Schizosaccharomyces pombe: one gene and its partners. The gene in region 1 interacts genetically with each later gene. Each region holds a gene or a part of one and is shown in the gene's direction. Other genes may lie near its edges. The genes, in order: mug124, ubp2 and nnr2.

Region 1 (3,757 bases):
GAATTGGGTATCAGTGTCAATGTTGACCTTGACGACACCGCACTTGATACCAGTACGGAACTCGTTGACAGAGGAACCGGAACCACCGTGGAAGACGAAGAAAACGGGCTTGTCGTTGGTGGTCTTGAGTTGCTCCTTAACATAGGCTTGGTGTTGACCCAAAAGAGCGGGTTGGAGCTTGACGTTACCGGGCTTGTAGACACCGTGGACGTTACCGAAAGCGGCGGCAATGGAGAAGTAAGGGGTAACGGAGGAGAGCTCACGGTAGACATCCCAGATGTCCTCGGGTTGAGTGTAGAGCTCGGTGTGGGAGACGTGAGAGTTGTCGACACCGTCTTCCTCACCACCAGTGATACCGATCTCCATCTCGATCCAGATCTTCATGGGAACGGCACGCTTGCAGTACTCCTTAACTTGAGCAATGTTCTCCTTCTTGGGCTCCTCGGACAAGTCAAGCATGTGAGAAGAGAAAAGAGGCTCACCGTGAATCTTGAAGTAGGCCTCATCGGCTTCGAACATACCGTCCATCCAGGGGAGAAGCTTCTTGGCGCAGTGGTCAGAGTGCATGACGACGGGGACACCGAAGAAAGGAGCGATGGAACGGATGTAGTGGGCAGCGGCGATGGAACCGGCAATGGAGGCCTTTTGGCCCTCGTTGGAGGATTCCTTACCAGCAAAGAAGTGAGCACCACCGTTGGAGGTTTGCAAGATGATGGGGGAACGAGCCTCACGAGCAGCCTCAAGAGCAGCAATAGCAGTGGAGGAGGAGGTGACGTTAATGGCAGGGATGGCGAATCCGTGCTCACGAGCGTAGGTGAACAACTTTAAAACGTTGTCACCTGTAATAACACCAGTAGGTACAATATCGAGAATTCCCATTTTGCTAATTTGTGTGTGTGTTCTATACGACCTTTGGAAGTATGATACTGCAACAGTAGCGCGCAACCCTCTATTATATACCATGGAGCCGGAGTTGGCCTCGGAAAAACTTCTCACCTGATGTGCATATCGATACCTATCCGGTCCGTGGTTACCACCAATCACCGTCCCCTGTTTTAGGGGTTGACGTCAAAAGAAGTTTTTGATTTCTTCCATTTACCATCCCCAATCCCCCCGATAGCGCTCTGCATCGAAGTACGCAATTCCGTTCAAGAACCGTAACACGTTGCGTGGTGTGTGTCAAGGCAAAAGGAAGCGGCGGCGGCGGTAACCAACTCGTTCACCCGATGCACAAACACAAACAAAAGAAACATTACCAACGTAAACATAAATACAAACCTAAGCATTAAACATTTATAAATACAAACATCTAACCTGCCCTATACTATTCATATGTCTATTTCATTTCTATTCATTTCTTTTCATTAATTTCATTTCATCTCCTCTTGTCTTGTCTCGTCTCGTCTCGCTTCTCCATTCTCCCAGCCATCCCTACTTCCCAGTTTGAGTGATGGATTTTTCTACTCAACCAACTTGAACCAGCCAACTAAACTAATGCATTTCTTTTGTTATCACAGTCTGGCCGTCTCGGTTCGGTTCGATGGTGTTGTGCCCACACACCCCATCTGCATCTTCGGTAGTATTCTTATTTTATAGTTGTCGCCTGGGTCAAATGATCAAGAAATGCAAGGCAATTCTTCTTCCAAGCATGCTTGAATTAGCTTTACCATCAATGTAAGAATAGACACTTTGCACCGCATTTCATCACTGTCTTTACACAAGCAGGTATGTGAAATGAAAAGTATTTTTGGACATATACAAAGTGCACAACTAAGTAGCTCTCTCACGTATTGATGATTTTCCATGCGTCCGACCGGCATTCGTTTACGGGAGTATGAATTTCGTAAGTGGTTTGATTGATTGAATGCTTTATCATTTTTTGGTTATCTAGTACCACTTGTGTTTCGCTTGGCCACGAGTAATATTAGTCCAGCAATGAGGTGAGAGAAGAGATCATCGTTTGTGTACATAACAAGAGGAAGAAACATTGATAAAAAGGAATTGAGAGAGTGGAAGAGGATGAGACTTGACTAGAAGAGTATGAGACTGCAGTCACTGTCAAGTGTTGCTATTGCTGAGACTAGGAGACAAATCATTCTTACTATTATTAACTCTCTTGTTTACTTGGTAAATTTCATTTCATGTCCATCCATTCATTCCATTCCATTCCACATCTCCACCCATCTCACATCATGTCAAGCTAATATTTCTCTGCTCAAAATCGTTGGTCTGCATTGTCCATTCCATCGTCGTGGCATTGCATCTCTGAGTGTATGTGTGGCATTGCATTGGATTGCGTTTTCATGCTCGGTCATGTGTCACTTTGCTTGGAGTTGCGCTTTGCCTTGTTTTGTCGATTCATTTTTTCCATCCAATTTCTTCCTTCGTACATACGCTTTGTTTACGTTTTCGCTGCAGCTCTGGTCAGGTAACGATTTGCAAGGCAACCATTCCTATTTAGCAACCCCGACACGATGACCGATATACCTCGTTACCTAGATGGGCTCGGTTGATGTCAGCGGCACTTGAACCCTTCGCTACGGATAACAATTGGATTACCGCAGGGAAATGGTTGGAACGGATAAACTCTTGTTGTTAGAGATAAGCAAAATCTTGACGAATATTGTTCCTCGCCTCTTTGGCAACGCAACGCATCGATATAACGATGTAGGGCAATGCACTGTAAGCGGGCTATGTGAGGTTAACGTGGGCTTGTGAAATGAAAGGGAGAGCAGAGGGAAATGGAGAGAGAGAGAGAAAGAGTAAGACTGCAGACGCTGGATAAGTAGCATAACGCAGTGTAACTTGTAACATCGTAACACATCGAGGATAACATATAGACAAAGCGTCGTCGTAACGAATATATAGAGAGAGTTAAAAGACTAGGGTATAATATGTTTACTTGCACGCTCTACTAAATAATAGGTATAGCACGTATATCCAAGTTGTAACTACAGCTATGTACAAGTACATCTCATAGCACAATATACACATATATAAACACATTATGTGGTACAGCCTGTAGACTTTTTATATTTGATAGCATGGTTTGTCGAGTTGTAGGTTTTATTTATTTATTTATTTTTTTAAGTAGACAGCATAGTTTGTGTAATTGATTTTCCATCCATTAAGTTTATTATCCTACTTTTTCGTTTGCACAGAATCTCATTCACTAATACACTCATACATACACACACTTTTTCTTACCCAATCCTTTCTATTTCATTCCTTTACTCCTAGCATTCTTTATAGAAATACATATTCCACTTCATTCACCTATTCATCCATTCATCATTCATCTATCCACTCTATCTTTCTCATTCCTTTCCATTCCTTTACTATATATGCACTACAACTTCATATTCTTATTCCCTAAACAAAACCATAGTGTTCTTCCTTTGCCTCTCTATTCTTTTCCGCTCTTGTTAGCTCTTCACTCAAGCTGACATCCCTCTTCCAGCCCTCCGTCTAACCTTTTTTTCTCCCTGCAAATTAACCTTTTTGTTTCACCATCTCACCATCTTCATCTCGCCTAAAAGGTCTCGCATTCGGTTTCGCCCAAACATAACTTACCGGAACATGCCACCTGCCATCGCTACTCTTCCTGTGGTGTACGGATGATGGTAATGATGCATTCCGTACAATACCCCAAAAAGCTATGAGAAAAAGGTTCCCTATTCCTTTCCAAATTTACTTTTTCTCCCCTGGCGTGGCAAAGTAGCGTAACTCTTCCTATTCCATCTACTAGAACAACTCT
Region 2 (3,757 bases), on another chromosome or scaffold:
ATACTCAGATTGTGAATAGTCTAGCTAATATATCAGGGATGCGCGATAATTGAGTACTCTACTGCTGAAGAAGCGCGCACGGCAATTAAAACTCTGAGCAACCAAAAATTTATGGGCCGTCTTGTTTATATCCGTGAAGTAAGATTTTTTTTATGTCGCTTATTAACCTTCGTAAAGGATCGAGAACAAAATGCAAGATTTGGCTCCTCTTCAGTATCGCCTAGCGCGTCGTCGAATGGCAAAGATTCTGAGCCAGACAGGCAATTGTTTGTTGGTAACGTAAGTTCAATTTCTAATCCTCTATATTCTTTTCCTCGAACTTTGGTATTTTAATGAATTGTGGAATTGCAAATAAGAAATGGTACTAACGAGTATAGTTACCGTATAACGTTCGCTGGCAAGATTTAAAGGATTTGTTTAGACAAGCTGGTTCTGTTATCCGAGCTGATATCCAAATGAACCAAGAAGGCCGATCCCGTGGCATTGGGATTGTTGTCATGAGTTCGATGAAAGAAGCCATGCATGCCATTCAAATGTTGCATAACACTGATTTCATGGGCCGCACTTTAGAAGTTCGCCTAGATCGGTTTGCACATCATAAAAGTAAGCCGTATTCCACTCATGGAAATGGCTATACGTTTCCAGCGGAAATGCAAATGACTACATCATCCACCTATCTACCCATGTTAGGTGCTAATACTCAAGTCGAGGATTTAGTTTATCATGCGTATCCCCATGGACCCTGCTCGGATTGCATTTACGTTGGAAATGTATGTATATAAGGACGCTTTTGTGGGATTAGTTTTCCGCATCATTTTAAGTTTTTTTTGGAGATTACTGACTGAATATAGTTACCTTGGGCCACCTCAGATCGCAATTTATTGGACCTATTCACAGATATTGGCTCAGTCATTCGTGCCCGAATCGCCTATGAGCCCACTGGCCGATCTAAAGGTTTCGGTGTCGTTCAATTTGAGAATGAAAATGATGCAGCATCCTCAATTGAAAAATTAAATGGTTATCGTTATGGCGGGAGACCCTTGCAATTATCATACGCTCACTATGCGACTCCACTACCTGCTGTCCCTACTGTGCTCTCGGGTCTTCCTTCAGTCGCTTATACACCACCTGTTATGCATATCCCTACAACGAATTCACCACTAACGCCCCAATCTTTTACAAATTCTTTCTTAGGCTATCTACCGATTTCAATGCCCGTTGCAAACATGCCCGCTATTGCTCCTATTTCTGTAGCTTTACCCGAAAATAATATTGAACATTCTTTGGAGCCTTCTTAAAAATTCGCCAATACATCTGAACTTCTTTTCTCTTTACAATTAAGCACATTTCCGTAGTGTGAATGGCTAGCTCAGTGACGACATGCGCAATGTTCTAAGGCAGTTATCCTAATATTGTTTGCTTTTCTCTATTTTTTCTTCAAATTTTTGCTTTAATTCCTAATCCCCAAATATTCTTATTTTCCATGTTTATAGATTTATCTCTTTTGTTTGATTTCAATTTTTTGCTAAGATCTTATTCTTTTCCGTGACACACCAAAGTATGCTGATGGCATATATATTCGTCTCTCGTTCTTCTAATTGAAGTCTTTTTAATTTTAGCTTTACTGTTTTTTTACAGGATGCCTAGTTTCCTTCTTTTACAATTGCTAACCATTTCATGGTTTTAATGATATTTTAGATTTTTAGACTTCCATTCTGTTAACTTCCAGTTAACCAAGTTTAATCTTTATTGATTAACTACATTATTTTTAAAGTAAGGTGTATTTAGGTTAAAAATCTTATTTAAGCATAATGGTAAATTTCGTATAGCGAAATGTAGGTGTTGATTGTTTCTTACCTTCTTTAGTAGCCTTATCAATGAAATACAAACATTTACTTCTATCTTATTCCCCACATTCATAAAATTGATGGTCGCATACCTGGCTGGCATATGTAAGACGACAAGCATCATACGCATGAAGTCTACCTACCGAGTCCTTTACTCATGAAAAATCCTTCAATCTGTACGTTCTTTCCGTTTGGACGTTTTTTCAAGTATTTTTCATAATAAAAAATTTAAATTTCTTTATTAAAATTATTTACATCAAACTATAAAGAGGAATGGCAACTGTAAAGAACTTGCGAATTGGCAAAAGTCCTAATCGGTTGATTCAAGATTTAGACGTCTTTGATAGTCCATCAGCTGGATGGAATGATCCTTGGAGTCCTCATAGCTCAAGATATCACTGGCAGCTTCATTCAAATTTAGGCGAGTCCGCTGTATTTGACGAGAATGACTTTTGGTGTGTTTGTCAAAAAACTCGCAAACACTTACATGTGAAAGTCCGAAGAGACAGGGGGAAGCCATTAATTGAAGAGCCTGAAGAAAATTATGGAATAAAAGATAGGATTCCTGTTTACTACGAAGAAGAGGAATTACCTGAACCTCATGTGACTAGCCCTACGAAAAGTGAATTCGCTACTACCTCTACTTGTATGAAATGGAGTAGCAAAACAACAAAAAGTGAAATTGAAGTTGAATGGAGAGATAGCTATCTTGATGCTAATTGTATCAAAGAGATAATTGATTCCCGACGTCCATCATTTGCTTCCCTTTTAACTAAAAAATCGTCATCTCATCAAGGGTCATCCCATTCATCCCAACCTTCTCTTTTTACTACATTTACTTCTTTGGAGTTGTTTTTACGAAACGTGTTGGTCCATAACGATCAACGTGCCATTAGCGCTGCCCCGGAAGGAACTTTTGAGAGACATGTCGGAAAGGGCCGCCAAATTCAATCTTTGATGAAATCTCTTCTGTTTGAATATCACCACGAAAATGTAAATTATGTCCCTACCATTGCGGACGCTCCCCTTACTGACGAACAAAAACTTAATCTATACCTTGCTAGGAATGAACTTATTGTTTTGGCTAATCACTTTCGTGACACTAAAGAAGATCCGGCTATTGTTGCTAACCCTTTTCCCGTTAGGTTGGCTCGACCTGCTTTAATTAATGCCTTTGGCGTTCCTAACTATGATAGCGTGGTTCCCATGTATACCACAGTTTTTCGCGACAATTCGGCCTCCTTACCTGATGATCCTGCTTTTATAGCCTTGGGTATCACGAATGATTATCCAGACAGCTTTGTCCGTTATTTCTATGAGGAACAAAAAAAGAACGATGAAGCTAATGTTCGTGTTTATGCGGATGCGCTTGCTCATATATACAATTTACGTAAAAGCAGCTTTTTGAGAGATCTAATTGCGGCAGATAGGAAAAATGGAATCGTGTCGAGCGATGTAATACAAGCCGCTTATTCGAGTTTAGGACTTGAAGCTGAGGTAGGCCCGGATTACAGGTATAGTCAAGAAAAAATCTTTGAGGCGTTTCATTCTGCCCTCCTAAGAAAACCTGAATTTGCCAGAGCTATTAGGAACGATTTGGAGACTATTGGCTATGCAAGAAAGAGTTCTGAAATTTTAAATTATGTTTTGTCTACAGAACAGGCTTTTTATACGGTTAATGAAGCCTACCAATGGTTGGGCATTAAGTCTAACACCGAGGACGCCATGGTAGCTTCTGTGGCCTTAGTGAAATTTGAAGATGATAGCGACAAAGCCATCGAGGCCGTCAAATGGATAGCTGAAGAGAGAAATAGCTCCATTTTGTACGATTTCTTGGCTTCACAAGGTAGACCTTCCAACAAGAAGCCTAAAGAAGTGCCTATGGATGAAGATCTAGCTTACAACACATT
Region 3 (3,757 bases), on another chromosome or scaffold:
AAGATGAATGATCTAGCAAAAGAGAGTTTCAGACCAAAGAAAGTTGATGCTTTTCACTTTATAGATTACTCAAGTATCTACTTTAAACGGAAGTAAACAAGTTACGAAGGTAAAAAATTTCAAACATTTACAATCTTAAATTAATAAACCTATGCTTCAAAAAAAGACAGGAGTTACTCTTCTAATAACACTTCTTCACTAACTAGTTGTACTGGATGTTCTGTAACGAAAGAATGGACTGGGTTTGCAGTTTGGATAGTGTATCCAGCTCTCATAAAATTTGTTTGCTTTTTGCAAGCTAAACGTTTGACAATGGTTTTTCTTTTTCAACTTAAAGCACTTTATGCCCCATCAATTAGTCCTTCTTACTGGAAACTATATTTTTCTTGTCAGTTTGGAGTTCAGCAACTTGTCAACTACCCACCACTTTGGGAAGTGGTTAAAAATAAGCAATGCGGAATGACTGAGACTGGCAGAACCAGTAAATATCGTGTTGAAATTCAACAAATGATGTTCATTCTAGGGGAGGTGCAGGATCCTCTCCCAGAAACCACACAATTAGTCGAAGAGCTAATACGTGGACAAGTGATGGAGATGTTAATTCAGGCAAATGAGCTAGCTTTACGACGTGGCTCAAGATCTATTACTGTGGAAGATTTATTTTTCTTAATTCGCCATGATCGTGCAAAGGTGAATCGACTAAAGACATACCTGTCATGGAAGGAAGTGCGCAAGAAAGCGAAGGAGCAGGATGCCAATCCTGCCGATACAAAAGATCTTTTTGAGGAAGTAGATTCAAAAACAAGGTCAATGAATGCAGTTGCTATGCCTTGGGAAGTAAAAAATATGTTTACAGAGCCTGTACCGGAAACAGAAGAGTTTGAAGAAGATAACGATACGATGGAAATGGCATATGCGACGCGACAACGTCTTAAAATGGCAGATGAACGCACGAAGAAAATGACGCGTGAGGAGTATGTTCATTGGAGTGAATGTCGACAAGCCAGTTTTACTTATCGAAAAGGCAAGCGATTTCGTGAATGGTGTGGCATGTCTATTCTAACAGATACTCGCCCTGATAATGATATTGTAGATATACTTGGCTTCTTGACCTTTGAGATTGTGGCTACCTTAACTGAGGAAGCACTGGCTGTGAAAGATCGAATGGATCGGATTCAAAATAGCTCGGGTAGTGGAGGCTCTCATGCAGCGCATCATCCGAAAAATTGCAGTTTATTTGATGGACTTACTGAGGGGAGAACTCCCCTTCAAGTTTCTCATGTTTTAGAAGCTTTTCGTCGTTTGCAAATCCCCGATAAAACTCATACTGCTATGCGCAGTTTTCATGGGGGTTTGGTCAAATCTCGTGTGTATCTTATCTAATCATTTTCACTGTCTCTTCTTTTTTTTTAATTGCTGTAAGGCTTCCATTTACATCTAAATGCCCTGTTTTCCTGTAATTACCCATACTAGGTACGTATATGTTATTATCCCCATTACTGGTTCTCCTTGAAACAATATGGTTTAGATCTTACGAAAGCCCCTTTACTTTATGGAGATATTAACTACTCAATATATTTCATCACATTAGACTGTTGTCTTGCATCTCCGATTGAATTCATAATTTTATTTCTATCTTTCCACTAAGCGATATTCTTAATTGCAGCAGTGGTAGTATTTGGACTTTTGGATTTTTTAATATCAAATTTTTCTTATTATACTGGAATCTCATGATATCTGTGAATATTTGCAAATCTTCTTACCAAACTTCGTTTACTCTATACAAACTGCTGATTTTCGTAATGAACAAGGGGATCATCCTTTTGATATCGTCAGTGCGAAATTTTTAAAAAACAAAGGGTTTCTTTACGTTTTTTTTTTGTTTTCGAGAACATTTGAACTTCATCACTGAGCGTCATTTTGATCATACCTTCCACCTTAACATCATACATACGCCAACTCCAAGAATAACCGAACATTCGTATTCCGAAGCACTCACAGTACTTAAGAGATACAAAATTCAGGAATTTTAAAGACTTTTTGATTTATTATAATTGTAATTCTTTATAATTTTTTGCTATCCGAAGAATTCGCTCAACAAGATTACAACATGACATCTGGATCTCCCAAAATTACAAATTTGCTGACTCGTGTGAAGCGCATCATTCCACCACTTCTTGATACCTTCCACAAAGGTCAAGCCGGTCGAGTTGGTGTTTTTGGGGGTTGTCAGCACTACACAGGTGCTCCGTACTATTCTTCGATGTCGTCGATGCTCTTCGGCAGTGACCAAAGCCACATATTTTGTGAAAAAGAAGCTGCAAATGTCATTAAAAGCTATTCTCCTGATCTGATTGTTCATCCATTTTTACGTGAAAAGGACAAAGCTGGACCAGAAGATAGTGTCGATAAATGCTTTGAACTTATAAAGCCCATGATGGGAAGATTGCATGCCATCGTAATTGGGCCTGGATTGGGACGTGATGAATGGATGCAAGAGATTATGGCCAAAGTAATTGAGTATGCGCGCAAAAATGATATGCCTATGGTTATCGATGCTGATGGCTTGTGGTTAATTCAACAACGTCCCGAATTGGTTTCGGGTTATCATAATGTAATTTTAACACCTAACGTTATTGAGTTCAAAAGACTTTGCGACAAGCTTGACATTAAGAGTGACGGACCCGATGCTTGCAATCAGCTAGCTGGCAAACTAAATTTGCTCATCATTCAAAAAGGCCAATCCGATATTATTTCCGATGGCGCTACTGCATATGCTTGCTCCGTTCCTGGTGGTCTTAAACGTTGTGGTGGTCAGGGTGACATTTTAACTGGTATACTTGCTACATTCCTTGCTTGGAGACATGCTTATCTTAGCAAAGAATGGGATACAGAAGGTAATATGGATGCTAAAGAATGTCTCTTCCTTGCCGCATTTGGAGCCTCTGCCTGTACTCGCTGGTGCAGTCGTTTGGCGTTTAAGGAATGTGGTCGTGCAACTCAATCAACTGACCTGGTCAGACATGTGGGTAAAGCGTATAATGCGTTAATGGAGGATGAGATACCGTCTGTCGAGGAAAAAATAAAAGATTAAAAAAAAATAATATTTAAAAACCAAGAAGATAAAGGACCCTTAAACTAATAATTGACTTTTTTGCTTGTTTGTTCCCTGGAATTGACATTATTACCATGTTTTCAAGTCTTGGTTCAAATTCCCAAGCAAAGGGATACCTTAAACTTAGTTACTAGGAATGACTGAAACGAAAATACCAGATTATTAATGAAATAGCGTATTTAATTTTAAAAACCATGTTCAAAATAAACATTGCATAGTCGTTGGTATCATTGTTGTTGAGGAAATTTGATGTAGCTGTCACCGTTTTTATTTATTGTAACAGACAAGGGCAAGCAGACTCTTCTTTTTGATTCGTAATTGTCATTATTTACATTATCAAATTTAACGGAAATTAGTATTGTTCCTAAGTTTTACTATAAGACGATGTATCTATGAGCACGACAATAGCTTCGGAAACCAATTCAAACCTTCATATAATAGTTAAATTCTAATATTCTACGATTTAGATATCTAGATTATTAATCAATTCCTATCTTGACCTCAACGTTGTATTTTCATTCTACTGTTTTTCTTCTTGGAAAGTCATAATTGACAATATGGAATATTGAAATGCGTTATCAATTAAAAATGTTACTATTTAATTTGAAAAAAAGAAATGTGAGATAAAAAGAAAGAACATGG

The links.
Region 2: mutations in mug124 (region 1) and ubp2 together harm fitness less than expected from each alone (positive genetic interaction), as found in Schizosaccharomyces pombe (one large-scale study listed by BioGRID).
Region 3: mutations in mug124 (region 1) and nnr2 together harm fitness less than expected from each alone (positive genetic interaction), as found in Schizosaccharomyces pombe (one large-scale study listed by BioGRID).

The regions. Positions count from the first base shown.
Region 1 is NC_003423.3:1,685,489-1,689,245, reverse strand, and holds the start of mug124 (protein mug124), read left to right. Parts: upstream 1-2,003; 5' UTR 2,004-2,040; coding exon 2,041-2,478; 3' UTR 2,479-3,757. Other genes in the region: fructose-bisphosphate aldolase Fba1, read right to left, coding at 1-879. UniProt on the Schizosaccharomyces pombe protein: Has a role in meiosis.
Region 2 is NC_003424.3:3,485,205-3,488,961, forward strand, and holds the start of ubp2 (ubiquitin hydrolase Ubp2), read left to right. Parts: upstream 1-1,989; 5' UTR 1,990-2,120; coding exon 2,121-3,757. Other genes in the region: hrb1 (RNA-binding and mRNA export factor), read left to right, coding at 37-138, 178-279, 378-770, 852-1,298.
Region 3 is NC_003421.2:1,442,543-1,446,299, forward strand, and holds nnr2 (NADHX dehydratase Nnr2), read left to right. Parts: upstream 1-1,946; 5' UTR 1,947-2,110; coding exon 2,111-3,094; 3' UTR 3,095-3,340; downstream 3,341-3,757. Other genes in the region: SAGA complex subunit Spt3, read left to right, coding at 460-1,383.